Linked DNA regions of Sus scrofa. The main gene of each other region encodes a partner of the protein of the gene in region 7 in a complex. Links are inferred from orthologs where the notes say so. Each region holds a gene or a part of one and is shown on either strand. Other genes may lie near its edges.

Region 1 (4,910 bases), on a different chromosome or scaffold from region 7:
CCCACACTTCTGGGCTATTGATCCGAATGAGGGAGCCCTCTCATCACAAGAGAAAACCCCAGGAAATAACACCAAGCAAAACGGGGGGAACTCCTGATTCCTAACAGAGAATTTATTACTTAGTAAACACTGCCTTCTCCTTTTCAACAAAATTTTTCTTCCCCCCAAAATTAAGTATTTCTAAGGAACAGTGATTTCTAATCTTTCTCAAGATCTGGCACAACCTGGGCAAAGATGGTTCAATGTAAATGTTTCCCTATTTGTTGCTATTAAAAGTCATTTTCTAATACTCCAAAGTAATCCATCAGGTAACTGGTACAATGCATTTCTGGGACCAAACGTCCTTTCTTTTTAGGGCTGCATCTGCGGCATATGAAAGCTCCCAGGCTAATCAGAGCTGCACCTGCAGGCCTATCCCACAGCCACAGCAACACTGGATCTGAGCCACATCTGTAACCTACACTACAGCTAGCAGCAAAGCTGCATCCTTAACCCACTGAGCAAGGCCAGGGATCGCACCTTTCATGGCTACCAGTCGGTTTCTTAACCTGCTGATCCACAGTGGGAACTCCCTGGGTCTAAACATCTTATGTATCATTCCCTAACTTAGGGCCATCGTGTTCAACTAAATCTGATACAAACGACTCAATTACCCCCCGAGTCCTCACCTAAATGGTATCACCTAAGACTGACAGGGGTCAGAAAACTTTTCCTGAATGGTACTTCTTATTTCAGACACTAAACAATAAAAGTGACAGGCAATGGACTGGACCATGGGGTCAAAAGTTAGGATGAGGGAGGCATTACCCGCTTCTGCTGCTCCAAAAGCTCATGTTCCTTCAGTGAATGATCCCCCTGCTTAAAAGAGAAAACAAGCTCATTTCAGCACCAAAATCCCACAGGCCAGTCGGCCCCAACTCTGCTCCCAGCCAGGGCCCAAGTTCTAGTCTTTGGTCCAGACCTTCCCAGAAGCCTTAGGCCCCAGGATCCGGCTCCCTCTGAGGCTCCACTTCCCATTCAGGACCCTGATGAGCCCCAGGCTCAGGCTGCTACCTGCTTGGCACGTTCCTCTTGCTGCATCAGCAATGCCGCCTGCTGCTGCGCCAGCTTTAACCGCTCTTCCTCGGACAGTGCCACAGGTTCACCCACTCGGAGAGGAGGAGGGGGGCCCAAGTTTGGAGGGCGGGGTCCAACTGCCATGGGAAAGCCAAGGCCAAGGCCAGGTGGAGGTGGTGGGGGTGGTGGAGGAGGCTGTAGAGGGGGGAGTCCCATGGGCGGGGGTGGCATGGGAATCCCAGAGAGCTGTGGGGGAAAAAAAAATGACCATTAACTGGAGGCACTGATCTACTACAAATACTTGCTGGGGAACTACAATGAGCCAGGTGCTGGGATTCAAAGTCAAACGACACACAGTTCTTGCATTCAAGAAAAAGACTACTCTTGGAGTTCCCATCGTGGCTCAGAGATTAACAAACCCGACTAGCATCCATGAGGACACAGGTTCGATCCCTGGCCTCACTCAGTGGGTTAAGAATTTGGTGTTGCCAGGCGCTGTGGTGTAGGTCAAAGATGTGGCTCGGATCTGGCATTGCTGTGGCTGTGGTGTAGTTGACAGCTGCAGCTCCAATTTGACCCCTAGCCTGGGAACCTTCATATGCTGCAGGTGTGGCCCTAAAAAGACAGAGACAGAAAAAAAAAAAAAAGGAAAAAAAAAAAAAACAAAAAACACTCCATAGCCACATCAAGAAAGGAGAATTCGGGAGTTCACATTGTGGTTTACCAGTTAAAAAACCGATCAATATCCATGAGGACTCGGGTTCAATCCCTGGCCTTTCTCAGTGGGTTAAGGAGCTGGCATTGCTGCAGGTCATAGATTTAGCTCAGATCCAGAGTTGCTGCGGCTGTGGTGTAGGCAGGCAGCTACACCTCCAATTCCACCCCTAGCCTGGGACCTTCCATATGCCACGGGTGTGGCCCTAAAAAAAAAAAGGAAGGAAGGAAATAAAGAAAGAAAAGACAAGAAAAGAAAAGAAAGAAAGGAATCAAATCAGGGAGGAAGCCCTAATTTGTCACTGAATAACATGGGAACAGTGTGCTGGGACAGCAAAAAAAGAGGTTAATTACTTCTACCTGGAGGAGGATGGGACGATCAAATTAGGCTTACAGATATTTAAGTTGAACTTTGAAGGACCTGTAGGATTTGGAGGAGCTGTCACAGCAAAGGAAGCAAAGATGAGGACCAAGGGAGAACTGAAGAGTTCCCAATTCTGTCATCACAGTACCACCCAAACTGCTGGTTGCAACCTCCAAACACACACTCCATATGAGAGGAGGGGCTACTCTGGGCAAAAAGGGATCCTAACAAGTGGGAAGACCGCCCTACCTGGGCTGACATAGGAGGGGGAGCAGCTTTGTCCCCATCTTCACCTCTCAGAACAGGCCGACTCAGGACGATGCCAGTCTGCGAAAGAGAAAGGGCTCCAGGTCAGTCCAAAAGGAGCTAGCTGTTCCGCTAAACAATGTTCGCTCGTGTCCGTTCGACAAAATTTACCCAGGGTCTGTCTGCCAGAGCTCAGACGGGGTTCTGGGGGGGGACCAGCATGTACAGAAACGATTACAACAAAGAAGACAAGAAGAGACAAAAAGAGCAAGACCTCACTCGCTGTACCGAGATACATCAAGAACGAAGAACGAAGCGTGAGGGATCACGAACCGCCTCCTCCAAAAGCTCGGCCTATCCTGACATCCCACCAACACTTACCTGGCGGGTGTAGGTCTGCAGCCTTTCCACCAGCTCCTCGCGACTCCCTGCTGGGCAAAGCACAGGATCAACGGGGTAAGGCAGGCGGAGCAGGCCCAAGTCAAGCCCCCGCCCCCCCCAACTCTTCCGCCCCCGGGTCTCCGGGGTAACCAGCTCCGCTTCCCCGCGGGCCTACACTTTCCGGCCCTTGACCACCCGTGCTCCTCACCCTGGATTGGAGCGCCGATCTCCGCTAATTTGGCCTGAAGCTCCTGAGCAGCCCAGGCACCATAATGCCCAGGAGGCGGCGGCGGCGGCAGCTGCAACTCTCCTTTCGGAGGCTCGGGATGCTCGGCCGCCATCTTAGCCGCAGGAAGGCGCGCGACCCACCCGGAAGCTCGGGCCGGCCTCCCGGCCCGCTTCCCGGAACTTCCGGCAGCGCCATACGCCACGTCCGCTCGAGGCTGGTTAGGCGGACCACCCTCTGCGATTCGTCAATGGTCCCTAGGCGGCCTGGCCGCGAAGCCTTCTGGGAGTTGTAGTGCGCAGATCACGGTCTTTGCGGGCTCAACAGGATAGGGCCTCTGGGAGGAGGGTGGTCCGTCGCAGTACCGGGAACGCTGGGGGCCGGAGCCGGGGTGGGACTGTGGGGACCGCTGGTCCGGAGCGGAGGATGTGCTTTCTGCGTCTCGCTGACCGCTGCGCAGACCTCCCCGCCTCCGGCCCGACTCCAGCTCAGGCGGGAGAGGCCCAGGCGCAGACGTTCCCGAGGACTCATTCCCCGGGCGGCCGCGCGCTGTGGGCGCCGGGCGGGAGGTTGCAGCCGATGCCTGGGATAAAACAGTGTCTGATTGTCTGCCCGCCCACTCCCGGCCCAGGCTTGGATGAATGGCCTGAAAGGGAATCGGAGCCGGAATGGAGCGGGCCCTCCGGGCTGAGCTCCAACTGCCGACCTGGGGGAAGGGCCACACTAAAGACCCTTTTTCCACCTTCCCGGCTAGCTCAAATGTCATCTCCTAGCTCAAATGTCATCTCCGCTGAGCCATCTCCTGCCGCCTTCCTTTCCTGCTCTGGAGCTTCCATAACACGTCCAAACCTCCGTCATTTGTTTTAAAGTCTTTCTTGCCCCTTATCCACACTTCCAACCCCAAAGAAATGAGTCTTGGAGTTCCCATTACGCCTCAGCAGGTTACGAACCTGACTAGGATCCCTGAGGATGCGGGTTCGATCCAGGCCTCGCTCAGTGGGTTAAGGATCCAGCGTTGCCATGAGCTGTGGCAGCTCAGATCTGGTGTGGCTGTGGCACAGGCCAGCAGCTGCAGCTTCGATCTGACCCCTAGCATGGGAATTTTCATATGCTGCAGGTTCAGCCCTAAAAAGTAAAAAAAAAAAAAAAAAAAAAAAAAAGGCATGAATCCTTTTTACTGTCTCACAGTACCTGGCGTTAAAGAGGCGCTTAATTGGAGTTCCCTTCATGGCACAGTGGTTGACGAATCCAACCAGGAACCATGAGGTTGCGGGTTTGATCCCTGGCCTTGCTCAGTGGGTTAAGGAGCTGTGGCATAGGTCGCAGACGTGGCTCAGATCCTATGTTGCTGTGGCTCTGGCGTAGGCCAGTGGCTACAGCTCCAATTAGACTGGGAACTTCCATATGCTGCGGGTGTGGCCCTAGAAAAGACCGGAAAAAAAAAAAAAAAAGAATCGTCTTTATGGCGACAGGATAAACTCAGGCCCTTTTCTTTCCTCATCCCTAGCAGCCTACTGGCGCAGCTGACCCTGCCTGGTGCTCCCCTGCCCCACCAGTGGCCTGTGCCCCTTATGTGTCCGCCTTCACGTCTCCCTGTCCTAACTACTTCCTGCCTTTGCCACTAGCAGTGAGGTCCCTCTCCCATTCTAGCTCTGCTCTCTGACAGCCAGGCTTACCTCGCGCGCGCGCACGCGCGTGTGTGTAGGTCTCATTATCCCCATACCCCTACACTCCTCAGATCTCTCTACCATGCCCTATTTCACCAACCATCCCCAAGAGGAATACCTGGGAGCAGGGAAAAAAGAATGAGACGTCAGGTCCAGGGAAGGTGAGATTTAGGAGAGACAAAGTAAAGGACTGGGCCACGAAGCTTGCTTACATCCTAACCCTGGCTAGGAAATTCTCTTTGCTCCTGCCCGAACC
Region 2 (3,765 bases), on a different chromosome or scaffold from region 7:
CCATTGTATAGATTTACCGATTTATTCAACCAGATCCTTACTGATGGATAAGTGGGTTGTTTTCAAGCTACTATTACAAAGAGTGCTGCAATGAATAGCTTTGTGCATGTTACTTCATATTTTTGCCAGCATTACCTCAGGAACTTTAATTCTGTTCTCACTTAATAGTCACAATAATCACAATAATCCTTTATCACAGATATTGGGTCTTCATCTTATGGGTAAGTTTAATGTAAAGAAATAACTGCTGTAGTACACAGCAGTCCAGCAACCACCACAGCACATTACAGAATAAGTCTGTATTTATTTACTTATTTAATTTTATTTTTACAGCTATACCTGCGGCATGCTTAAGTTCCCAGGCCAGGGGTCGAATTAGAGCTGCAGCTGGGGTTTATGTCACAGCCATGACACCACCAGATCTGAGCCACCTCTGCGACCTTCGCCACAGCTTAGTAATGCTGGATCCTTAACCCACTGAGTGAGGCCAAGAATAGACCCCACACCCTCACAGAGACAATGTCAGATCCTTAACCTGCTGAGCCACAATGGGAACTCCCAGAATAAGCCTTTAAACCATGGAGTAAACACCCTTATTCTGACCTTACCAGTCTTTCCCTATTAGACTGACACCTCTTATTAGAGAAAAAGAAGTTGTTTTGCCAAGGAAAACACCACAAAGAATAAACAAGGAGTTAAGTTTTATTTTCTCTGTGCATTTGCAAAGCACTTCGGACCAACATAGAGGGGGAAAAAAAACCTCCTGTGGAAAAAAAATTACACTTACAAAAAAGGCCTGAGAGGGATTAGTGCCCTAGCCCCTGCGAGCTACAGCAACTCTGATTGGTCCAAGGAAGTGAAAAGATATTGGGAGGACATAACAGGAGCAAAGACAGTGAGAAATCACTGAGGAAGAGGGCCTCGAAGTGGGCCTCGAGGGGGAACTGGAGGCCGGGGAGTGGGTCTGGGTGGAGGGAGGGGTCCTCGCTGGTAGCCATATGGTGGAGGTCGTGGAGGGCCAGTGTATCCATGAGGGGGCATCAGTGGGGGAGGTCCGCGCATACCATGTGGTGGCATAGGACCAGGGTGACCTGCAGGAAAAGAACGAACTTAGTAAAAACAATTAGGAGATAATTGGGACAAATAGGACAAAACATTGGGACAGTGAAGGAAGAGGAGAGACAAGCAAACAGTGAAAAGAAATACAAGAATGAAAAGAAAGAACACACAGGGGATAAGAGGTGTGACTAAAGAAGCTGCAAGAATATGACACATGAGGACAAGAGAGGTGGCCAGAACCTACTCACCCATGGGCGATCCAAATGGAGGCCCTCGAGGGGGCATGCCCATTGGAGGAGGTCCAGGATGAGGCATTCCAGGTGGTGGTCGAGGTGGTGGCTGCCCTCCAGAGCCAGGGGGCCCAGCATGGGGGTGTCCTAAGCCATGAGGGCCATGGTGGGCCAGCTGCATCTGAGACATCCCTATGAGAACAAAACAGACACAAACACAAAGGAGACAAAAGAAAATCAGACAAGGGGGCAAAGAAAATGAGAAAGAAAAGAGTAAGGAAAATAAGGCTGGTAAAAAGTGCCCTTATCCTTGACTCCAAGCAAGAGAACCAACCAACCTATGATCCAATCAATTCCCAACCACCCAGCTGGCTCCTTCCATGATTTAGGCACTGTACAAGTGCTGCAGAAGTATGTAACAAATGGAACGATTATGCTATTGAATAGGATTTGAGAAGGTAACAGAGATACTGCCTGAACCAAGATCCAATTCTGAAGGATAAAGAGGAATTTTTCAGGGGGACAACAAGTGGGAACAGAACATTCTAGGCAAAATGATTAGCACGTGCAAAGCACAAGTACGTCCAAAAGCACAGTATGTTATAGGAAAACCAGTAAGTCGGTAATCAGGAGAATGCAGTTGTGGGAACAATGAGGAGCCAGATCATGACAAACCTAGAACTGCTATGCTAACAAGTTTGGCCTTTACTCGATAGGTAAAAGGGAGCAAAAGAATTTTGAGCAAGGGTGTGTGAACATCTATATTTTAGAAAAATTACTCACTGAAAGTCGATCGAAGGTAGAGATAATTAGAGTCAAAGTGTCAGAAAATTACTACAATAAATTAGGTGTGGAATAATGAGGATATGAGAGCCTGAACTAGGGCACTGACAATGAGGGCTGATGGCAGAGGTATTAATAAGACTTGGTATTAAGAGTGGGGTGGAGTTCCTGTCATGGTGCGTAAGGTTGTGCGTTCGATCCTTGGCCTTGCTCAGTGGGTTAAGGATCCGGTGATGCCATGAGCTGTGGTGTAGGTCACAGATGCGGCTCAGATCTGGTGTTGGTGCAGCTGTGGCGTACGTAGGCTGGCAGCTACAACTCCAATTAGACCCCTAGCCTGGGAACTTCCATATGCCGCAGGTGCGGCCCTAAAAAGACAAAAGACAGAAAAAAAAAAGAGTGGGGTAACAGGGAAGAGTCAAACATAGCTCCCAGATTTCTGAATCAAGCACCTGAAAACTAAGACTACTAGAGAAAGAATAAGGTTGAAGGGCAGGGGTATAAAAGTAGTCATCCAGTAGTTCCCGTCGTGGCGCAGTGGTTAACGAATCCGACTAGGAACCATGAGGTTGCGGGTTCAGTCCCTGCCCTTGCTCAGTGGGTTAACGATCCGGCATTGCCGTGAGCTGTGGTGTAGGTTGCAGGCGCGGCTCGGATCCCGTGTTGCTGTGGCTCTGGCGTAGGCCGGTGGCTATAGCTCCGATTCAACCCCTAGCCTGGGAACCTCCATATGCCGCGGGAGCGGCCCAAGAAGTAGCAACAAAAACAACAACAACAACAACAACAAAAAGACAAAAGACAAAAAAAAAAAAAAAAAGTAGTCATCCATTAAACAGTAAGATTAAGGGTATGGAATGTTAATACCCATGGAACAGCCACCCATCTAGGTGGCATCAGTGTACAAACAATGGGACTGTGCAAAAAAGAGAGCCAGACACAAAAACCTCAGCTGAGAAAAAGGAGCCTATTAAGGTGGCTGAGATTGAGGATTCAGAGAGAAAGAGAATCCATAAAAACCAAAAAAGACAAGATTTTCAAACAGGAGGACACGGCCAGTTTCAAGAATAGCAAAGATCAAACAAGATAAGGAGCAGCCTAGACTTGGCATGTAGGTGACTGCTTTGGGGTGGAAGTCAGAGGAAAGAATGGAAGTAAAGGTTAAGAAAACAAAACCCAGCAAGTATAGTTATACTCTTCGGTAAAACTTTAAGAAATGAAAACAGGCTGATAGTTGTTAAAGTAAACAGGCTAAAGTATTTTGTGTTTGTTTCTATAAAAGAATGTCTGGGAGTTCCCGTCGTGGCGCAGTGGTTAACGAATCTGACTAGGAACCATGAGGTTGCGGGTTCAATCCCTGCCCTTGCTCAGTGGGTTAACGATCTGGCGTTGCCGTGAGCTGTGGTGTAGGTTGCAGACGTGGCTCGGATCCCGCGTTGCTGTGGCTCTGGCGTAGGCTGGTGGCTACAGCTCCGATTCGACCCCTAGCCTGGGAACCTCCATATGCCGCGGGAGCGGCCCAAGAAATAGCAAAAAGACAAAAAAAAAAAAATGTCTGGAAGAAAGGAATGTCTAAAGAAAGGGACTCTCTATTATTGTTGAAGGACAGAGAACAGCAGCATAACTGGTGAAAGAATCCCTCTCCTTCCCAGCAAAGAAAACCCACCTGGATGGGGCATCCCACCCGGTGGGAATG
Region 3 (4,110 bases), on a different chromosome or scaffold from region 7:
ATGGGTGCAGCCCTAGAAAAGACCAAAAAAAAAAAAAAAAAAAAAAAAAAAAACAAACTAACACATTGGAAGAAGATGGCATTTTGGGCAGCTAGGATTACAGAGAATTAGTTCTGACTTTCCAGGTATTTTATTTTTTTTTTTTATGGCCACACCCATAGCACATGAAAGCTCCCAGGCTAGGGACTAATCCCAGCCACAGCTGTGACTGACCTACATGCAGCTACGGCAACAGTGGACCCTTTAACTACACCAGGCTGGACATCAAACTCACGCCTCCGCAGCAACCTGAGTCTCTGCAGTCAGATTCTTAATCTACTGAGTCACAAGGAGAACTCCTCCAAGTATTTTATAATATGATTATGTCTGTATGTTTTTTTTTAAATAAATTTTTTTGGCCGCACTTGCAGCGTGTGGAAGTTTCTAGGACAGGATCGAATCCGCAGCATAGAAGCGACCAAGTTGCTGTAATGACAGAACTGGCTCCATCACCGGCTGGGCCACATGTGAGAACTTCTAAAATAAGTTTATTTCTTAAACAAAAAGCTTTGTTCCTGAAATTTTTTTTCTTTTACTTTTTCAGCCACACCCGTGGCACATGCAGTTCCCGCGACAGGGATCAAACCTGAGAGACAGCACCAACCTAGACCGGAGTGACAATGCCAGACAGCTAACCCATTACACCACAGGGAACTCCAAAAACAAACATTTTCATTTTCATTATGTCTAAAAATCTCTCTTTTTTGGCCCCACCCATGACATAGGGAAGTTCCCAGAAAGGGATCAAACCTGCATCACAGCAGCAACCTAAGCCACTACCACTGCAGTGAAAACACCAGATGCTTAATCCACCGCACAAGAGAACGCCTCTAAAATCTTTACGTTAGGGAACTCCTGTTGTTGCTCGGCGGGTTAAAAATCTGACATATTGCCAATAAGGATGCATGTTCACTTCTTGGCCCCACTCAGCAGGTTAAGGATCTGGCCTTGGCAAGCTGCAGCATAGGTCGCAGATGCAGCTCAAGTCTGATATTGCTATGGCTATGGAGTAGGCTGACAGGTGAAGCTCCAATTCAACCCCTAGCCCAGAAACTTCCATATGCTGCAAGTGCAGCAGTGTGTGTGTGTGTGTGTGTGTGTGTGTGTGTGTGTGTGTGTGTGTGTGAGTGCGCGCGCGCGCGCCATAGGTGTGGCCCTAAAAAGCAAATAAGACATATTTATCAGTTATCATTTACTTAAAAATAAAACATAGCATTAAAAACCAAACAAGAGGAGTTCCTGTTGTGGCTCAGCAGTACCAAATCTGATTAGCATCCATGAGGATGCGGGTTCGATCCCTGGCCTCGCTCAGTGGGTTAAGAATCTGGTGTTGCCATGAGCTGTGGTGTAGGTTGCAGACCCAGCTCAGATCCTGCGTTGCTGTGGCACAGGCCATCAGCTGTAGCTCTGATTCAACCCCTGACCTGGGAACCTACATCATACGCTGAAGGTATGGCCCTAAAAACCAAAAAAAAAACAAAAAAAAAAACAAACAAGAATTTGTCATTACAAAAACAAATATGGTATTATACGATTATTTATGTTAGTGAACATACGCCAGCATCCTTTTCTTTCTCATCCTCCTTGTCATCTTTGTCTTTTTTCTTCTCTTTAGAACTTTCTCCACTGTCTGTTTTCTCTTTGGATCTAGACCTATGAAAAAAGAGAGAAAAAGAAAGGGACATCATCTATTTGTTTTTGGAAACATTAATTAAAAAATATTTAGGGAGTTCCCGTCGTGGCGCAGTGGTTAACGAATCCGACTAGGAACCATGAGGTTGCGGGTTCGGTCCCTGCCCTTGCTCAGTGGGTTAACGATCCGGCGTTGCCGTGAGCTGTGGTGTAGGTCGCAGACGCGGCTCGGATCCCGCGTTGCTGTGCCTCTGGCGTAGGCCGGTGGCTACAGCTCTGATTCAACCCCTAGCCTGGGAACCTCCATATGCCACGGGAGCGGCCCAAGAAATAGCAACAACAACAACAACAGACAAAAAAAAAAAAAAAAAAAAAAAAAAAAAAAGCACAGGGAAGAGAGTCCGTTCCCAGCCTGCACGATCGATACAGCCAACGGCAACATTACCTATTCTCAGCTTTCTTGCTTTTATTGCCAGGACTAGAAGATCGGGATCTCCGGCCTCGGCTTCTACTCCGTGATCGTCTCCTGTCTCGACTTCGAGATCTTCTTCGATCCCGACTTCGGTCTCTCTCTCTACTTCTGGAACGCCTGAAAGGAAGACACTTTCCATGTATTCTATGACCACACGGAGCTTCTATGTCAGATCATGGTTCTACGTCATGTTGAAAGAAGCTTCTTAATTACCACCATTACTAAAGACAGAGATTTCAATTAACCATCAAATCGGCTAAAAGGAGAACAAGTAAAGGCAATTCTTAAAAGTGGTCAATGAAAAAAATGAGAATACTAATTTCAAAATGACGTTTGTTGAAAAACAGGAAACGCCAATTATAGCTGCTTGAAATCTATGTTCCTTAGCACAAAATCTAAGTTTCTCTTTTTATTTCTTTTTTTTTTTTAAAAACTAAAAATGCCACTGGCGGAGTTCCTGTCGTGGCACAGCGGAAAACAGGTTCGATCCCTGGCCTTGCTCAGTGGGTTGAGGATCCGGTATTGCCATGCTGTGGTGTAGGTCGAAGATGTGGCTCAGATCTGGTGTTGCTGTGACTGTGGCATAGGCCCGCAGCTGTAGCTCTGATTAGACCCCTAGCCTGGGAACCTCCATATGCCAGGGGTGTGTGACCCTAAAAACCAAAAATAAACAAATAAATAAATAAAAATACCATTGGCTTCTTTAACTGGTTAAAAGCACAAAATGTAACAGGCAGAAAGTCTCTTTTAAACAAATTAAAAAGCTGGAGTTCCCGTCATGGCGCAGTGGTTAACGAATCCGACTAGGAACCATGAGGTTGCGGGTTCGGTCCCTGCCCTTGCTCAGTGGGTTAACAATCCGGCGTTGCCGTGAGCTGTGGTGTAGGTTGCAGACGCGGCTCGGATCCCGCGTTGCTGTGGCTCTGGCATACATAGGCCAGTGGCTACGCTCCGATTCGACCCCTAGCCTGGGAACCTCCGTATGCCACGGGAGCGGCCCAAGAAATAGCAAAAAGACAAAAAAAATAAAAAAATTAAAAAGCTGTGGGTTTTTTTCCCACAATTCTCCCCAAGTCAGGATATATACACACTCCCAAAAATGCTGTGTGAAGGAAAATTGTCATACACAAGAAGTTATGCCCTGAATTTAAGGGAAGCAGCTGTTGAAACAGGAATTAACACAATAAAGTCAGCAACAGGTTAACAATTCAAAAAGCCTGAGTCTTGAAATGCTGCATAGCACAAAGCTATATGACATAAAATACTGCTAGATATGAAGGAAGAATTTTCTATGGCTTTTAGCAAAAATGCTTTTCCAGAAAAGCAAATCAAAACAATGCCATCAGCAGACCAAAGGAGCTACAGCTAGAGAGCAGAGCTACAACTTCTCGAATTGAGCTAGCAAATCCTATTATCCAGTAGAGACTAAAATTTTATGACAAAACGGGACATTTGTAACGTCTCTTACGTTATCCATTTTAAGTTCTCTGTTTCTTTCTCCCTCAGCCCTTAATTCAGCATGATCCAGCAGAAAGACGGCTGCTTTTAGAACTTTTTTTTTTCCCCTGTTGGGAGACTGTCATGGAGCCTCGATATTTCAGGCGCAGATGCATACAAGACCAGTGTCTCGCTGTGGTCAAAAACCTTAGCAATGGACTCAGGTGAACTCGGCTTCCTGCTGCTGCTCTGTTCTTCCACTGATGAAGGTCAGCTTCAGAGTGTATCTGTTATCAGAACTTTTGAGACTGGATAATAGCTGCCAGGTATCCTCAGGATCCATCCCTGAAGGATCTTGCCTGAGGTTAAAGGATATGATAGGATGTGCAAAGCCAAAACAGGCTTCGACTCTGGAAAGGGGTGTGTATAATCCCCAATCGAAGCCACTGTGGCAAAGAAACAAGAGACAGTACAGACAGTGAGGCGACTGTCAATTAAAGCAAAATTCTCCACATACTTGTACTTTTCCA
Region 4 (4,110 bases), on a different chromosome or scaffold from region 7:
GATGGTGAAGGACAGAGGGAACCTCCTCGTCATGGAGGGAAGGAGCCCAGCGTGAGCAGCAAACTAGAGCCACACTAGCCAGACCTCACAACCCAACACCCCTTGGGATCTCCTCATGGAGATCCACTCAAGGCTGTGGTGCCTAGTGGGGCAGGATGGGGGTTGGGGCAGGATGGGGGTTGGGGCGGGATGGGCCGCACCTCATTGTTGTGCAGTGTCAGGCACAGCTTGCACTCGTAGGAGCCCAGGTGGTTCTTCATGAAGTAAGGGTCCTGAGGGGGAAGCACAGTTGTCAGATGGTGGGTAGCATGCTGCCAGTGGCTGGGCTGAGGTACAAGGCCTGCCTCTGTTCCTGAATCCTGGCTCTCCTGCGGTTGGCACTGAGAGGGCACTGAACCCTTTCAGGAATGTCTCAACGCTGAGCCTGAAGAACCCTTAGTTGATTATCTCAGAAAATCCTGAGTTTGATCCCTGGCTTGCACAGCAGAATAAACTCCCAATGGTGAGATGGTATAGACCTGGGTGGCCGCCAGCACCTGTGAGCAACCCCCTCCCTCCCACTCAGGTGTGTATTTAAACGTGCTGCAGCATCTCAGGACCTCAGGGGTCAGATGGTTGTGGAGCACAGCCTCCTGGGGTCCACGGAATCCCTCACCTTGGGGTCTCACTTGGGTGGTTCCGCTCTTAGGGGACACTGGGCCAGCTCCGGGCATCCAGTGTTGGGGGCTCCTGGGCTACTCTAAATGCCGTGGTGCCTAGGTTGGCCCTACATGTCCACAGTGCTGTGTGTGGGGGGGACCTGTCCACCAACAGATAACTGTTGGTCTTCGCTGCCTGTGGTTGCAACGTTATTAACTCACATTGGGCCTCTGAGGCTTCACCACTGGCAATCCCACAGGCCTCTGCCTAAGTAAAGCTTCCTGTGGTAAAAACCCTTCAAACATGGGGCTACCAACAGAAAATGGTCTATGGGGGATAGCGAGAGCTGCTGTTCTAGGTCAAGTGCCCTGGTTCAGAGCAGGACCTTGAGGCCAGAGAAAATGGTGGGCAGGGCTACGGGGCCAGGGAGTACCTTGTTGATGTCGATGGTTTCCAGGGCCAGCTGCCGCAGGCGCTCCCTGCGATCCCGGTTGCTCTCAGAGGAGGAGGCCACACCCCCGCTCCCGGTCTTGCCGCCGGGGCGATGTTGGAAGTCCATGGCGAGGGCCCTGGGGGTTTACCAGACCAGGGGAGAAACCTGCCGAGGCCAAGGCCAAGGCAGCCATGAGGCTGCTGCATGTGAGACCTCGCCCTCCTGGGTTCAGACTCACCCCCACTCTGCACTCTCTCTGCCCTGCCAGCCCCTGGGCCACCAGAAGACTGGGCTGAGGGCCCACGATGAGCCATGTGCACAGAAATGAGGAATAAGGATGCCTGAGGAATGCAAAGGCCCAGAGACCCGAAGTGTTAACGGGGAAGGTGAGGCCAAGTTCTTACTTGTCTCACCTTTTCCAAGAAGCCTTCCCAGACTGCCCTAGCCCATAGTGTTCACTCCCTCCTCGTGGCTCCCTTTCTGCTTATCTACACTTTTTTTTTTTTTTTTGGCTTTTTGCTTCTCAGGGCCACACCTGCAGCATATGGAGATTCCCAGGCCAAGGGGTCAAATCAGAGCTGCCAGCTGCCAGCCTATGACGCCACAGCCAGAGCAACACAGGATCCAAGCTGCATCTGCGACCCACACCACAGCTCACACCGACATCCTCATGGATACTAGTCAAGTCCTTAACCTGCTGAAACACAGTGGGAACGGCTACACTCAATTTCCACAACCTAAATTCTTATTTTATTTTCTTTAGGGCCGCACCTGTGGCATGTGGAGGTTCTCAGGCTAGGGGATGAACTGGGAGTTGTAGCTGCCGGCCTAGGCCATAGCCACAGCAACATGGGCTCTGAGCCATGTCTGTTACCTACACCACAGCTCACAGCAATGCTGGATCCTTAACCCACTGAGTGAGGCCTGGATCGAACCTGTGTCCTCGTGGATACTAGTCAGATTTGTTTCCACTGAGCCACGATGGAAACTCCCTAAATTCTACTTCTCTGGCTCAGCTGTGCATTTGTTGGAGAGAAGGAACAAGTCTACTTACCTGCCCCCTCCCCCCACTGCCTAATGCACAAGAGATGTTTAAGATTTGTTCGCACCTGAGGAGGGCTTTCTGGAGAAAAATACTGAGTTTCTCCTCCACATCCTCGTCAGCCAGGCCCACTGCCCATTTTCCACACTTTCAGGCTCAGACCCAACCTCCAGGCACCTTTCTCTCATCTTACACTGTCCTTGGCTGGCCAGTGCTGGCCTCAGGGCCCCCTGATTTATTTATTTTTTTAAATTTTTTTATTTTTTATTTTTTTTGTCTTTTTGTTATTTCTTGGGCCGCTCCCACGGCATATGGAGGTTCCCAGGCTAGGGGCTGAATTGGAGCTGTAGCCACCGGCCTACGCCAGAGCCACAGCAACGCGGGATCCGAGCCGAGTCTGCAACCTACACCACAGCTCATGGCAACACCAGATCGTTAACCCCCTGGGCAGGGCAGGGACCGAACCCGCAACCTCATGGTTCCTAGTCGGATTCGTTAACCACTGAGCCACGACGGGAACTCCAGGGCCCCCTGATTTAAACTGGTGCTATCATGTCTCTGTTGGGGTAGGTTCCCAGGGATGAGGCCCAGGAGTGAATAAAACCCTCCAGAGACATCCCCATCCCAACCCCAGGGTGCCTGGATGAGCCACCTCATGTGGCAAGGGAGACAGTGCAGATGGGGTTAAGGCCCCTGATTTGGTGGTGATCTTGGATTCCCCGGGGGACCCAGTGTTGTTACAGGGTCTTCATAAGAGGGAGGCGGGAGGGTCAGAGGCAGAGAAAGATGGGAGATGCCATGCTGATGACTGAGGATGGAGGAAGGGGCAGGGATGCAGTGCTTCTGGAAGCTGGAAAAGGAGGAACCAACTCTCTCCTGGAGCCTCTGGAAGGCATAAAGCTCAGTGCGACTTCTGCTAAACTTGTGGTCTCCAGAGCTACATTTTTAAGTCCTGTCGTTTAAGCCACCAAGTCTGTGGTGGCTCACTGCATCGGCCACAGGAGACTAGTGCTCCGGGCACAGGCCAGCTGTACCATCTCCCTGCAGTGCAACTGATGAATTAACAGAAACCTCACATCTGGTGACCAGTGGGGTGATCTTTCAGTTGGCTGCAGAATTAACAGGGCTAGACTTTTTATTCATACAAGTCCAGCCAGGGCCTCTAACTTGTGAATCCTGTAAAGCAAGGTATGAAAGACAACAGCCATCAACCATCACCATCATCTCATAAAACAGTGACCACAAGCCTGTACTGCCCACCACGCTCAGGGCGACACTCAGGGAAGAGCACACCCAGGCGGCCTCCAGCCAGGGACTGATCACACCCGAGGGGAGGCCCTGCATCCGAGTGGCCCTGGGCCCAGCTTCAGCACCAACTCCCTGGCAAGTCAGCGCTTCACTCTCTCAGAAACTGGGATGAAGGGCCTCTTGGCAATGAGGCAGGTACAGTGGCCCTAGGGAAGCTGCGGTGAAGCCAGGCTGAACAGATGGCAAGTCCATTCAAACCTACCTACTGAACAACAGGCAGCCCCCACCCCACTGTGACCAGAAGGCAGGAGTCCCTGGTCCAGAGGAGATCAGGAGTCTTTTCTGGGAAAAGAGTGCCAGAGAAAGTATTCTTAGACTGACGGTTGGGGGCCTGCACCAGCTCCAAAACCTAGCACCTTGCCAGGCCCACTGAGTTCACTAGTTGAAAAGCACTACTTCTTTTTTTTTTTTTGTCTTTTTGCCATTTCTTGGGCCGCTCCCATGGCATATGGAGGTTCCCAGGTTAGGGGTCTAATCAGAGCTGTAGCTGCCAGCCTACGCCAGAGCCACAGCAACGCAGATCCGAGCCGCGTCTGCGACCTACACCACAGCTCATGGCAACGCCGGATTGTTAACCTGCTGAGCAAGAGCAGGGATCGAACCCACAACCTCATGGTTCCTAGTCGGATCCGTTAACCACTGCGCCATGACGGGAACTCCCGAAAAGCACTACTCTTGATGCAGAACT
Region 5 (3,854 bases), on a different chromosome or scaffold from region 7:
TTTCTCTCCCTCCCAGCATTGCTCCTTGAGCGACTACCATTGAGCGATGACTTGCCCCCTGCTCCCCTCCCCAGCATGTTAAGTGCCCTTGGCCTCCTGGGACTGCCTGGTGCCAGCTGCTGGAAATGCCTGGGCGGAGTGTTAGCACCACTGCCCCAGCACTCCCATTCATGCTGTGAGGAAGCGGCTTGGCCAGCTGCCGGCTGGCCTCAGCTGCCCTGGGAGGCTTAGCACATAGATGCTGGCTGGCAGGGGCCTAGGCTTCTTGCCACCTGAGAGCCGCCAAGGCTCAGCTACAGAGAGGTGGCTTCTCGGTCCCTCTCTAAGTCTTGCCACTGCTTTGCTTTTCAGGGTTCAGATGATGAAGAGGAAGGGCAGAAAGTGCCACCACCTCCGGAGACACCCATGCCACCTCCTCTGCCCCCGACCCCAGACCAAGTCATTGTCCGGAAGGACTATGACCCCAAAGGTAGGTTCTGCTTTCCTCCTCTTGTGTTCCTCAGTGTGTCCATTTCCAGGAGGGCTAGAGGTAGCTTGTCATAAAGACATTGATAGCCCCTTTATCATGTCCTTATGATGGGAAATGGGACTTAGTTGTTGTTGGTGTCCTGGCACATTGCACAGTGCTAGGTACAGTGAGGCACTGAATGGATGGTGCACAAAAGAAATGGCACCCTCTTAATGAAGTCTGCCACCTAGTGTTCTTACTCAAGTGTCTCTGTTGCTTTTTAGCTTCCAAGCCCCTGCCTCCAGCCCCAGCTCCAGATGAATATCTTGTGTCCCCCATCACTGGGGAGAAGATCCCTGCCAGCAAAATGCAGGAACACATGCGCATTGGGCTTCTTGACCCCCGCTGGCTGGAGCAGCGAGATCGCTCCATCCGTGAGAAGCAGAGTGATGATGAGGTGTATGCACCAGGTGAGGTGGGGGTTCCCCTCCTAGGTCCACACCTCTTCTTTGACTCAGCCCCAACTCACTGTGGCCCATGGAGATCTCTAAACTGCAGTCAACTTGCTTTGATCAAACATAAAGAATAACAACTAAGGTCAACAAAAGTTTTTGAGGTTAGGTACAGCCTCTGAAACTGTAAAAGGGACCCATTTTCTAGGACTCTCCCTAGGCAGTTACCTGATATAAATCATATGTGCCCATTGACATCCTAGAGCAAGATCTGACTATAGTCAGGAGGGGTGCTCATTCTTGGGGCTGTCATAGTTCTGATAGCTGGAGTATACTGAGGTCCTTGAAATGAGACATGTTGGTCCTTTGACTGCAAAGCAGCACAATAGGGAGGGAGGAAACACCCAGAGGCAAAAGCCAGGCTTTTTGTCCTAACTGTGCTACTTGCCACTCATGTGACCCTGTCTTCTCAGTTGACTTTTGTAAGTCAAGGGGTTGGCCAGGCCCTGGTTAACAGGCTTAGTGCTGATTGGGCAGCCTTCCCCAGGCTCAGATGATAGGCATGCTGCATTGGGAGCCAGAGACAGCCTTGCCCCATGAGAACAGCCTCCACCCTAAACCAGTAAGGCTGTGTGTTGTTGGAAGGGCACCTGGTTTAATTTCCCTTTCTGTCCCCTTCTTCTGTTCTGTGACTACACCCAGGTCTGGATATTGAGAGTAGCTTGAAACAGCTGGCCGAGCGGCGTACCGACATCTTTGGTGTAGAGGAAACAGCCATTGGTAAGAAGATCGGTGAGGAGGAGATCCAAAAGCCAGAGGAAAAGGTGAAGCTCAGATGAATCTTAATGCCTTACCTGCCATCACAGTCCCACATTTGGCTTAGTTTCAGGAGCCCTGACAAGCTGTGGCTTTGCTTTCCCATGCAGGTGACCTGGGATGGCCACTCTGGTAGCATGGCCCGGACCCAGCAGGCTGCCCAGGCCAATATCACCCTCCAGGAGCAGATAGAGGCCATCCACAAGGCTAAGGGCTTGGTGCCAGAAGATGATACCAAAGAGAAGATTGGCCCCAGCAAGCCCAATGAAATCCCTCAGCAGCCACCACCTCCGTCTTCAGCCACCAACATCCCCAGCTCAGCCCCACCCATTACCTCGGTGCCCCGGCCCCCTGCGGTTAGCCAGCAGCCATCTTGTGACTGGTCTTTTAGAGCTGGGTATTTGGGGTTAGATACCACTGGCTAAAAAGAATAACTATCTTATAGCAGACCCAAGTGCTGAGTGGGTCAAGTTGAGAGAAGAACCATTTAATTGGAGGTGGGAGCCTCCAGCCTGGGCTTCCATCTGTGTGGGAAGATTGGAGCAGGGAAGGATGCGAGTGGCAAATATGAGAAGCAGGCTTGGGTCAGAGAAGGGCTGGAAGGTTTAGCAGGTCTTGGACTGCTGACCTTGCTCCAGGGGGCTATGTTGAGGTCAGTCTCTTTAATGACTTGTATTGTCTGCCATGAGCAGCTGATCAAGTCCCAAGTGTAAAGAGTGTCGCCCTGGGCCTCTCGGCATAGTTTCTGTCAGCCCCAATGTGAAGCTGTGCTTTCAGTCCCAGGGCGCTGAGTGGAAGCTGTCCAGCCCCATCCTCAAAGGCCACAGATGGCCAATTGGTGTGCAGTCTTGGATTCCTGTGACCTGTGGGTCCCTTTTCCCCCACAGATGCCGCCTCCTGTCCGTACCACAGTTGTGTCTGCAGTACCTGTCATGCCCCGGCCCCCAATGGCATCAGTGGTCCGACTGCCCCCTGGCTCGGTGATCGCCCCTATGCCACCCATCATCCATGCGCCCAGAATCAACGTGGTGCCCATGCCTCCCTCTGCCCCTCCTATTATGGCACCCCGCCCACCACCCATGATTGTGCCAACAGGTCAGTGTCTTTCATGTCATTTTCAGGCCGGTGTCAGGACTTTAGACCAAATACTGAGCAGAGCAATGGCTGATGGTAGTGCCAGCTCTTCCAGCTCTAAGTCCATCCCAATGGAGAGCCTTAACTTGGCCATGTAAGAGATCCCTGATCTGGGTGTCTGTAGCTCCTGGAAGAGAGGCTGATATGGCAGAAGTGGGTTCTTTGTACCCAGAGGGGTCACGTCCAGACAGGTACAAAGGCCTGACCATACTTGGTTTTTTCTGGTTCCTGCTCCATCCGTCAGTCTGCTTCTCCTTTACTTTCCTACTCTCCAGTCTGGACAGTTTCCCAGGTTCCCCTGCAAGGGAACTTTCTGAATGAGAGAAATGTGAAACCTTTGCAATCTCCTCTCACCAGCCCTGAGTTCTGGGCCCCTTCCCTCTACTCATGTGGCTGTTTATTCCTGCCCTTGCAGCCTTTGTACCTGCACCACCTGTGGCACCTGTCCCAGCCCCAGCCCCAATGCCACCTGTCCATCCCCCACCTCCCATGGAAGATGAACCTGCCTCCAAGAAACTAAAGACTGAAGATAGTCTCATGCCTGAGGAAGAGTTCCTACGCAGAAACAAGGTCTGTGATCCCGTAGTGCTGCCCATGGCATGGCCTGGAGTGCCTAGATTGGGGTTGGGTTGAGGGGATTCCCAGTCCTGCCCCAGACACACACTCCCTAGCCCATCCTGTTCCGCTCCTGTGGTTTTGGCTTCTAGGGCCTAGATCAGCTATTGGAGTTCTTGAAAGGCTTCTGAGCACACTGTAGGTGTGGGATCAGCTGTTGGAGGAGCAGATAGCCGTTGGTGGCCCCCTGGTGTGAACTGTTTTAGAGCTGAGCAAGGAGATCCAGCTGCAGAGGCAGCAGGATTCAGGTGTGAAAGGGGCCCTGGACATTGGAGGAAATCCTGGGTGCAGTTCTTATTCTCTTGTGGCCTTCCCCTCCAACTCCAACCCCAGGAGACCCATGTGTTGCAGAGATCCTATTGGGGTACTAGAAATGAAAGGTGGGAACC
Region 6 (4,110 bases), on a different chromosome or scaffold from region 7:
TTGGAATTCTCGAATAAGAATTAACATCACTTCTCTGGTATAGTAGTTGGCATATTCTGCATCCATGAGGGGAATAAGATACCCAATAGCCTTTAAGAATGCAGCCAGACCCTATTTTAAAATTTTGAAAATACAAATTTGTTACATTAGATTTAAGTCACTTCAATAAGTAGAAATAAAAAGAAAAATGAAATCAAATTGATGGATCTACCTTTCCTCTGTGTTGGCGTATACCTTTCCATAGAGGCTTTAACACAGAATCAAAAGACTCGATACCATAAGGAGTTGCTGCTTCAGCCAAGGCAGCAATGGCCAAAGCACTAATGGTCCGTACTTTCTGCTGCTCATCCACAAGACCTATAAAAAACCAAACACAGGTTTCCACTGAGTAACTTTACCTAGTTTCTATAATATCAAGATTCTAGCGATACACATAACAACTTAAGTCAAACTGAAGCTGTTCATATTAGACAAAGTTAGACCAAAGCCAGTATGAACCACAACCTATGAGCAGCTACTATTAAAAATCCCATCATAAACTATATGGTGTTTAGGCAGTTCACTTCCATTTCTCGCTCCAAAATCTGTAGCCTAAATTTCAAGAAATCTGTCTTATAAAAAACAAAGTTATAACACAACTTACCATGTTCAATGATTTCAACTAAACTTCTGAGATGAGGCAAGATGGCACAGCCCATAAGAATAGCTATCTGCTGTACAATCTTAATACCAGTGTGCCTAGCTTGCCAGGACTTCTTGCTTTTGCACACAGCTTTTAAGAAGGGCAATAAGGATGGAATGCCCAGCGCAGAGGCTACAACAGCAAAAGCTCTAGCTGTTGTGTTACGGACATACTCATCCATGTTATCTATATCAGGCCTCATGGTAGAGATCATAGTAGCCAGACCAGCAGCCTAAAAGTTTAAGAAAAAGCACAGTTATGAGTTGATAACATTACCCCCCAAACAGTTCCTTCTATAATCAAATAATCCCATCAACTAATATAAAACTTTCTTCTCCAGAAATATAAATACCTTTGCCAAATTAGAAATAATCTCTCGGCCTTCCACTCTAGCATAGTAATCTTCATCAATCAACAATGGTTCAATGACCACTAGGATCTGAAAAAGAGAAGCTACACTGTCACACCAATTACTGATGCAATACTCATGGGACAGAGTACAGGAAATTTATACTGGCCAAGAAGTTGTTAATCAAGGGATAAATTAGGATTTTAATCACATAATTTCAACCCCACATAAAGATGAATATTTGAGAGAACTGTTAACCATATAGACTATTTTTTTTTTTTTTTTGTCTTTTTTGCTATTTCTTGGGCTGATCTCGCGGCATATGGACGTTCCCTGGCTAGGGGTTGAATCGGAGCTGTAGCCACCGGCCTACGGCCTACGGCCTATGCCAGAGCAACGCGGGATCCGAGCCGCATCTGCAACCTACACCACAGCTCATGGCAACGCCAGATCATTAACCCACTGAGCAAGGGCAGGGACCGAACCCGCAACCTCATGGTTCCTAGTCGGATTCGTTAACCACTGCGCCACGACGGGAACTCCAACCATACAGACTATTAAACACACACATATACACACACACCTGTCTGAACTTACAATTCTAAGTCATAATTACTACCAGCAAAAAATGGTTCTTAGCACTAAGTGGCACAGTAGAGAAACACATATTTTCTCATCCTAATATCAAGAAAAGCAGATTTTAAAATATGAGTAATATGAACCCAACACATAAGATGGCAAAAAGTTACATCTATTTATGTATATATTTGTACATGTGTGAGGCATGCTTGTGCAAAAAGAAAAAGATCTGGAGGGTATGTAAATTTAACACTGGTTACTGAATAATTTTAAAGAGGCTGAAATTTCCCCTTTTAGTATAAAAGTACGGAGTTCCTGTCATGGCCCACTGGTTAATGAATCCAACTAGGAACCATGAGGTTGCAGGTTCGATCCCTGGCCTTGCTCAGTGGGTTAAGGACCTGGCATTGCTGTGAGCTGTGGTGTAGGTTGCAGACATGGCTGGGATCTTGCCTTGCTGTGGTTCTGGCATAGGCCAGTGGCTATAGCTCCGATTAGACCCCCAGCCTGGGAACCTCAATGTGCCACGGGAGCGGCCCTAGAAAAGGCAAAAAAATAAAAATAAAAAAATAAAGGTATACCATCAGCTATTATTGTTTTAGAGTTTTAAATTTTCATAAATACATCTAATAAGCTGGTTAAAAAAAAAAAGTCCACAAATTCCTTTTATGTTAAAAACACCAAACCATTAGAAACACAAATTGAAAACAAACCTTGTGCACATATGGGCGAACTAAATCATCAAGTTTGTATAATATTCTATCGATAACTTTCACAAGCAAATGACGTTCTTGATCCTCAAGTGTAGGAGACATCAGCAGAGGAAGAATCTGATTAAACAAAGGACCAGCTCCAAACTCACGAGCTTTATCAGTAATCTGACGCAATGCAGCCTGGAGAAAAAAAAAAATTATAAAGGCATGTTTCTTTATAATAAACATTTTGCATAAGCAAATTAGTTATTCTATGGTTTTCTCTAACTAGTGGAACGAAGTTTATTCCCATCAAAATTATTCTGAAGTTTGAACTCCTATAATCAAAGCTCAAATGTTTTCAGTTAATTCAAAAAGGATAACAGAGTAAGAGTGTAACATAAAACTCAACTTCCCCTAAAGAATCAATCATCTTCAAGCCACATATAATACTAATACAATTCACAATGCAATTCAACTATAATAAAAAAAAATTTTTTTAAATTCTGATACAATTCCCTCAAATAATTCCAGTAATTACCTTAGACTCTTCAGGCTCTGAGGATAAAATGGAGTATCTCTAAGACTACATGACGTGATGATTTAATAAACTGGTACTTACCTTTCTCATGGGAGGTGTTCCATTCTTAATTTTTAAAAGCAACTTCATTATTTTTCTCTCTTTTTGCTCTTCTGGACTAAGGGTTGATTCATCAACATCAACCTAATAGGAAAAAGTAAAAAATTTAAAAGGTAGGTGGAGATTAAGATTTTTAACAACTAAATAAAAAGTAACACTTTTTAAATCAACTATAATTTAAAACAGTAAACCTTTTTTAAAAATTACTATTTTATCTCTGCTATTATCACTTACCAAGAGTTTATCAAAGTACTGAATATCATCAGGTTTTAAAAACGGAAGATTTCCAGATGGCTGGTCATTAACACTTTTCATAGTTCTATCTTCAGTTTGCATGTGGAAACCAGTCATACCACCCAAAGGTGTTGGAGTTGCTGTCAGCTTTCGAGCTGGAGTTCGAATAGGAACATAACCAGCTGGAGGAGGAAGCACCTAATAGAATTAAAAGACGGTTTAGGATTTCCTTAACTTTATAAAGAACAACATAACTGAATAATATTTGCACTTAGGAAGCTTTTTGCTTAGAGACAAGAATTAATTAACATTGACTTGACTTTTCTGTCTTCATTTTAAAATATGACAAATATTAATATTTCTTATTGAATTTAAATTAACTTTATCAGAAGTGTGGGGGAATGAAGAGATACACAGAGTAGGCTTATGAAATTCTCATCACTTTCAAACAATCTATGTAAACGTGTTACTGAGCCAATGTCATAAATGAAAATAAGCTCACAGTGCACATATATAATGTATAAATGTTCATATTTTAATAAAAATTAGAAATCATTCATATAAATCTCTGCATCATAAAAGCAAATCGCTACTTAAGTTGCCCTACAAAAATGAGCTGACTGCATAAACACTAAAACCAAAATATTTAGCAAAGCCCTGTAAAATACACACCGTTTGACTAAACCCCAAAAAATTCACTACAGATTCACAGAGGATTTCCCCCTCCTACTGATAAAGAAATCAATAAATGCAATTAAGACAGACACCCAGGTAGTTGATAGTAGGCTCCTGACTACGCCCACAGCATTACATGGAGTCTTTAAATAAGTTATAAAGCAGTAATTCCATGCATACTTAAAATAGACACTCTAATGCTAACTGAACAGGGGGGAGGGGGGTATTACATACATACCAACTGTTAAAGAGCAATAGG
Region 7 (4,110 bases):
GGGATAATGCTTGGGCGAACTATCCCTGAAGAAAAATAAGTCCATGGAACAAAATAAACTGAAACATTATCTTGGTAGTTGGCATAATCGTAAGCCTAAAATAGTGTAACTATATCAATTTCAAGGTATCAGAAGTAATAAAGTGGAGTTCCCATTGTGGCTCAGAGGAAACAAGTCTAACTAGCATCCATGAGGATGCAAGTTCTATCCCTGGCCTCACTCAGTGGGTTAACGATCCAGCATTGCTGTGAGCTCTGGTGTGGGTCGCAGACATGGCTGGGATCTGTGTTGCTGTGGCATAGGCCAGTGGCTACAGCTGTGATTTGACTCCTAGCCTGGGCACCATCACATGCCATGGGTTCAGCCCTAAAAAGACCAAAATAAAAAAGAAGTAAAAGTAACAGACAATTTGCAGGACATAAGAAAATACACACAAAAATGAACTAATTAGTAATATGCAGCTAGAAAATATATTTAAAAATGAGATTACATTCAAAATGCAGCATTGTCATTCTATGAAATTTCATTACTATTGTTGGGCAGGGGGTGTTGAACAACCAGAGAACTCTCATTACCATCTTAAATTTTTTTTTTTTTTTTTTTGTATTTTTAGGGCCATACCTGCACATACTGTGAGAGTTCCCAGGCTAGAGGTCGAATCAGAGCTGCAGCTGCCAACTACAACACAGCCACAGCTACGCCAGATCCGAGCCGCATCTGCAACCTACACCGCAGCTCACAGCCAACACCAGATCCTTAACCCACTGAGCGAGGCCAGGGATTGCAACCACATCCTCATGGATGATAGCTGGGTTCATTGCTGCTGAGCCACGAAGGAAACTCCTAATATTTAAATTTTATCCCAACAAAATGAAGGGCAAAAACTGAAGAAGCTAATTGGATAATCTGATGACAAGATGCATTATAATCCTGACTGGCAGAACTGTAGGATCCTGACTTGCAAATGAATAAGAAAAGACAAAACAGCAAGGAGTTCCTAAAGCTGACTGCACCCACACACAAAAGCAATGAAAAAGTCCCCAGGATCCAAAGATTAAGTCAGGGATCAGGGAGCTCTTTAGAAGGTCATTTCTATTTAGCTCTGCCCTGGATGATTTCAACAACCTTAGAGTTGGGAGCCAAAGAAGTTAGTTGACCAAGTAGCCAAGTAGTGTGATAAATACATCTGGGAGGGAGAGCCTGAAATTTAATAAAGTGGAGTGGTAAAATCCTTTTCTTCACAGTCTAACTCATTGAAAGTGAAAATATGACAGAGAAGAGAAGAACCAGAAAGGAAACAAGAAGCCTGAGAAGAAGAGGCTAATGGCAGAAAAAGCTACCATGGCCAGGTAAACAGGAAGCCTGACTCGCACTTGAAAATTCCCGGACACGTGCGGCACTTGGCTTTTTCTCTAAGAGGTATTTTGCTGCCATGTTGCTGTGTACCTGTCCTGTCAGCTCAGAAATAAGCTTGCTGGAGTTCCCGTCCATGGCGCAGTGGTTAACGAATCCGACTAGGAACCATGAGGTTGCAGGTTCGGTCCCTGCCCTTGCTCAGTGGGTTAACGATCCGGCGTTGCCGTGAGCTGTGGTGTAGGTTGCAGACGCGGCTCGGATCCCGCGTTGCTGTGGCTCTGGCGTAGGCCGGTGGCTACAGCTCTGATTCAACCCCTAGCCTGGGAACCTCCATATGCCGCGGGAGCGGCCCAAGAAATAGCAACAACAACAAAAAAGACAAAAAAAAAAAAAAAAGAAAAAAAGAAAAAAGAAATAAGCTTGCTGAGACCATTTTAATTTTTTCCTTCATATCTGTAGTTTTTTGTTTCTGCTGGCTTTTCAGCCATACCTATGGTATAACATGAGCCAGGGATTGAATCCCAGCTGCATCTGTGACCTACACCACAGCTGCAACAGCTGTGCCACAGTGGGAACTCCATGTCTGTAGTTCTTAACACAGTAAAGTCAATTCAGAAAAATATACATACTCATTTACTCAAAATCTTGCATACAGGGGAGTTCACAGAACCCACTTAAAAACCATTTTATCCTCAGCACAGAACACTTCCCAAGGGGGAAACAATCAGTACTGCTGGCTAATTCATCCCCTCAAAATGCAGCTTGTACAATTGGAGTAGTTTGTACACATTCACACCCTGCTGCCCTTAGGCCAGGGTATTGGGACAGTAAACTAGAGGGCTGGCTCAGGGAACAATAAAGCTTACTTACAGGAGACAGCATCTTCAATCTGTGTCACGTTAGCAAAGTGGGCAGTGTTTGGGATGCCCAAACACCTCATGCCATGAGCATGACGCCACTCCTGCGTGAAAAGAAGAGAACAATGTAAAACGGGACTGACTGAACACAGAGTACTAATTCCATTGTGCTCATAAACGCCACCTTGACCCTTTCTAAAAGGCTCCACCTAAAGGCAACGTTCCTTTGTGGTTCCTGACTCTAGACTGCTGCTATGACTGATCAGAGGCAGTTACGTCAAAGCGTTGCATAGTTTGCTTCACTGAGCTGGTTTATAAAACCTAGGCCCTAGATCCAGACAAAACCTCTCTTGGAGACTTTAACTTATCAATAACATCCCATGCAACCCCAGCTACCAACATGCCTGAGTAGCCAACACTGATGGCAGGTCAGTGTTATCTCTGGAAATTAAGGAGAAGATTGTTTATCAGGTATAACCAAGTATATGAAAGAGACCAGGGAGACACTGATACAGGGACAGTTTTGGCTCAGGGACTACAAATGGCATGGGCCCAGGAGACCAATTCCAATTCAATGGAGGTAGTGTTCAGAAAGATTCAGAGATTATTCAGGAGCTTGGCAGGAAAGACCCAGGACAAATTAGTAATATGTACGTCTGAGGGAGAGAGAGGTCATAGAAATTCGCTATCCTAGGCTACATTAAGCAAGCCTTTCATTCTGTAAAACTTCCTTCCAAGTATAAGAATTGAAGGCGGAAACTAAACAAGGGTGAATCCACTTACTGGGGTACCACCTAGATAATGCCTTGTCTCAAGAAGAGCTTGATAAATGTCAATCTCTTCGTTTCTTTTTTTAAAGAGGCAAAGGCCCTTTCAGGACCCAAAGGAGATGGTCAGTCCCTTCTTTGGTCCTGAATACTAACAGCGGGACAGAGAAATGACCAAGGATTCAGAGACACAAAAAGAGAGAACTGAAGAGCGAGCAAGTGCAAAAGGAAATGAGGTTCAGATAGCCAAGTGGTAGAACACCTCCAGAACCATCTCAGGTACAACCCAAGGCTAGCCCTGGTCCCGAGGCCAAATGCCACATGCTGGACATTAGAGCCACTCCTTCGCTGATTCTCTTGCACTCTGGACACCAGTGATCCTCTCAGGCTGCTCCTACCCTCTTCTCTAAAAGACTTCTCTAAAGTATGTTTCATACTTTAACATCCAGGAGAAAAGGCTCTGAATTCCTTACAGCAAAGTGCCGCTGGAAGGCTTTGGGACCCCGGTAGGTGTAGTTTCCACAAATCTCACAGTTATAGTTGATATTCAGGCCATGAAGCTTATACAACCAGTAAGGAATGGGCTAAGAGAAATCAGAGAAGAAGGAGTGTTAGGCTGGTGTCTGCATCTGCTTTCAAAACAGGAAACAAGGAATACGGGAGTGTCTGGACTGACTTTGCCATCCCAGCCAAGGGGCAGGTTCTTGGGGTTGTAAATAATCTCATTCTCTTCATCTTCACTTTCACTCTCGCTGATCTGCTCCTCCTCCTCCTCTTCTCGTTCTTCTCCGGTTCTTGCCTGCTTGCGCTGTACATTTTCATGAGTGAGATGTCGCTGTTCCTAAGTCAGATCCATAAATGAAAAGGGAAGTCAGAGAATAGTGCAGAACAAGAAGGAAAATTTACAAGTTCCCTAGTGGCCTAAGGGTTGGGGATTTGGCGTTGTCACTGCTATGGTGTGGGTTCGATCCCAGGCCTGGGAGCGTTCGCATGCCACAGGTGCAGCCAAAAGGAAAAAGAGGGAGGAAATTTATTTTCCTGCAACTCTTGTTGATCTCTCACTTCCAAGGATCAGATCAGGTTTTCTTTTTTGCAGAACAAAGGGAACTTCTTGCCTTCATGTCAGAACT

Evidence for each region.
Region 1: SF3A3 (region 7) and SF3B2 share a complex: the UniProt entries of both Homo sapiens proteins name them as parts of the 17S U2 SnRNP complex. The link is inferred for Sus scrofa from reciprocal best matches to the Homo sapiens genes SF3A3 and SF3B2.
Region 2: SF3A3 (region 7) and SF3B4 share a complex: the UniProt entries of both Homo sapiens proteins name them as parts of the 17S U2 SnRNP complex. The link is inferred for Sus scrofa from reciprocal best matches to the Homo sapiens genes SF3A3 and SF3B4.
Region 3: SF3A3 (region 7) and DDX46 share a complex: the UniProt entries of both Homo sapiens proteins name them as parts of the 17S U2 SnRNP complex. The link is inferred for Sus scrofa from reciprocal best matches to the Homo sapiens genes SF3A3 and DDX46.
Region 4: SF3A3 (region 7) and SF3A2 share a complex: the UniProt entries of both Homo sapiens proteins name them as parts of the SF3A subcomplex of the 17S U2 SnRNP complex. The link is inferred for Sus scrofa from reciprocal best matches to the Homo sapiens genes SF3A3 and SF3A2.
Region 5: the proteins of SF3A3 (region 7) and SF3A1 are in contact, whole or in part, in an NMR structure (PDB 2DT7), measured with the Homo sapiens proteins. The link is inferred for Sus scrofa from reciprocal best matches to the Homo sapiens genes SF3A3 and SF3A1. Residues at the interface, in NP_006793.1 of Homo sapiens: Glu80, Phe81, Glu83, Phe84, Tyr85, Arg87, Leu88, Ile91, Lys92, His95; in NP_005868.1 of Homo sapiens: Ala161, Phe162, Asp165, Val166, Leu169, Thr170, Phe173, Asn177, Phe181, Gln184, Leu185, Lys188, Phe195.
Region 6: SF3A3 (region 7) and SF3B1 share a complex: the UniProt entries of both Homo sapiens proteins name them as parts of the 17S U2 SnRNP complex. The link is inferred for Sus scrofa from reciprocal best matches to the Homo sapiens genes SF3A3 and SF3B1.

What each region holds. Positions count from the first base shown.
Region 1 is NC_010444.4:6,290,494-6,295,403, forward strand, and holds the start of SF3B2 (splicing factor 3B subunit 2), read right to left. Parts: upstream 3,158-4,910; 5' UTR 3,103-3,157; coding exon 2,970-3,102; intron 2,812-2,969; coding exon 2,762-2,811; intron 2,462-2,761; coding exon 2,384-2,461; intron 1,303-2,383; coding exon 1,054-1,302; intron 859-1,053; coding exon 808-858; intron 1-807. UniProt on the Homo sapiens protein: Component of the 17S U2 SnRNP complex of the spliceosome, a large ribonucleoprotein complex that removes introns from transcribed pre-mRNAs.
Region 2 is NC_010446.5:99,126,138-99,129,902, reverse strand, and holds the end of SF3B4 (splicing factor 3B subunit 4), read right to left. Parts: coding exon 3,736-3,765; intron 1,482-3,735; coding exon 1,308-1,481; intron 1,092-1,307; coding exon 904-1,091; 3' UTR 685-903; downstream 1-684. UniProt on the Homo sapiens protein: Component of the 17S U2 SnRNP complex of the spliceosome, a large ribonucleoprotein complex that removes introns from transcribed pre-mRNAs.
Region 3 is NC_010444.4:136,978,861-136,982,970, reverse strand, and holds part of DDX46 (probable ATP-dependent RNA helicase DDX46), read right to left. Parts: exon of another isoform or gene 3,099-4,110; intron 2,261-3,098; coding exon 2,117-2,260; intron 1,693-2,116; coding exon 1,596-1,692; intron 1-1,595. UniProt on the Homo sapiens protein: Component of the 17S U2 SnRNP complex of the spliceosome, a large ribonucleoprotein complex that removes introns from transcribed pre-mRNAs.
Region 4 is NC_010444.4:76,407,729-76,411,838, reverse strand, and holds part of SF3A2 (splicing factor 3A subunit 2), read right to left. Parts: intron 1,767-4,110; exon of another isoform or gene 1,608-1,766; intron 1,238-1,607; 5' UTR 1,199-1,237; coding exon 1,073-1,198; intron 273-1,072; coding exon 201-272; intron 1-200. UniProt on the Homo sapiens protein: Component of the 17S U2 SnRNP complex of the spliceosome, a large ribonucleoprotein complex that removes introns from transcribed pre-mRNAs.
Region 5 is NC_010456.5:47,314,754-47,318,607, reverse strand, and holds part of SF3A1 (splicing factor 3A subunit 1), read left to right. Parts: intron 1-351; coding exon 352-469; intron 470-732; coding exon 733-918; intron 919-1,602; coding exon 1,603-1,724; intron 1,725-1,826; coding exon 1,827-2,072; intron 2,073-2,603; coding exon 2,604-2,811; intron 2,812-3,265; coding exon 3,266-3,420; intron 3,421-3,854. UniProt on the Homo sapiens protein: Component of the 17S U2 SnRNP complex of the spliceosome, a large ribonucleoprotein complex that removes introns from transcribed pre-mRNAs.
Region 6 is NC_010457.5:101,285,696-101,289,805, forward strand, and holds part of SF3B1 (splicing factor 3B subunit 1), read right to left. Parts: intron 3,375-4,110; coding exon 3,177-3,374; intron 3,027-3,176; coding exon 2,925-3,026; intron 2,504-2,924; coding exon 2,324-2,503; intron 1,122-2,323; coding exon 1,035-1,121; intron 915-1,034; coding exon 644-914; intron 358-643; coding exon 212-357; intron 112-211; coding exon 1-111. UniProt on the Homo sapiens protein: Component of the 17S U2 SnRNP complex of the spliceosome, a large ribonucleoprotein complex that removes introns from transcribed pre-mRNAs.
Region 7 is NC_010448.4:93,955,325-93,959,434, forward strand, and holds part of SF3A3 (splicing factor 3A subunit 3), read right to left. Parts: intron 3,822-4,110; coding exon 3,657-3,821; intron 3,565-3,656; coding exon 3,454-3,564; intron 2,318-3,453; coding exon 2,227-2,317; intron 1-2,226. UniProt on the Homo sapiens protein: Component of the 17S U2 SnRNP complex of the spliceosome, a large ribonucleoprotein complex that removes introns from transcribed pre-mRNAs.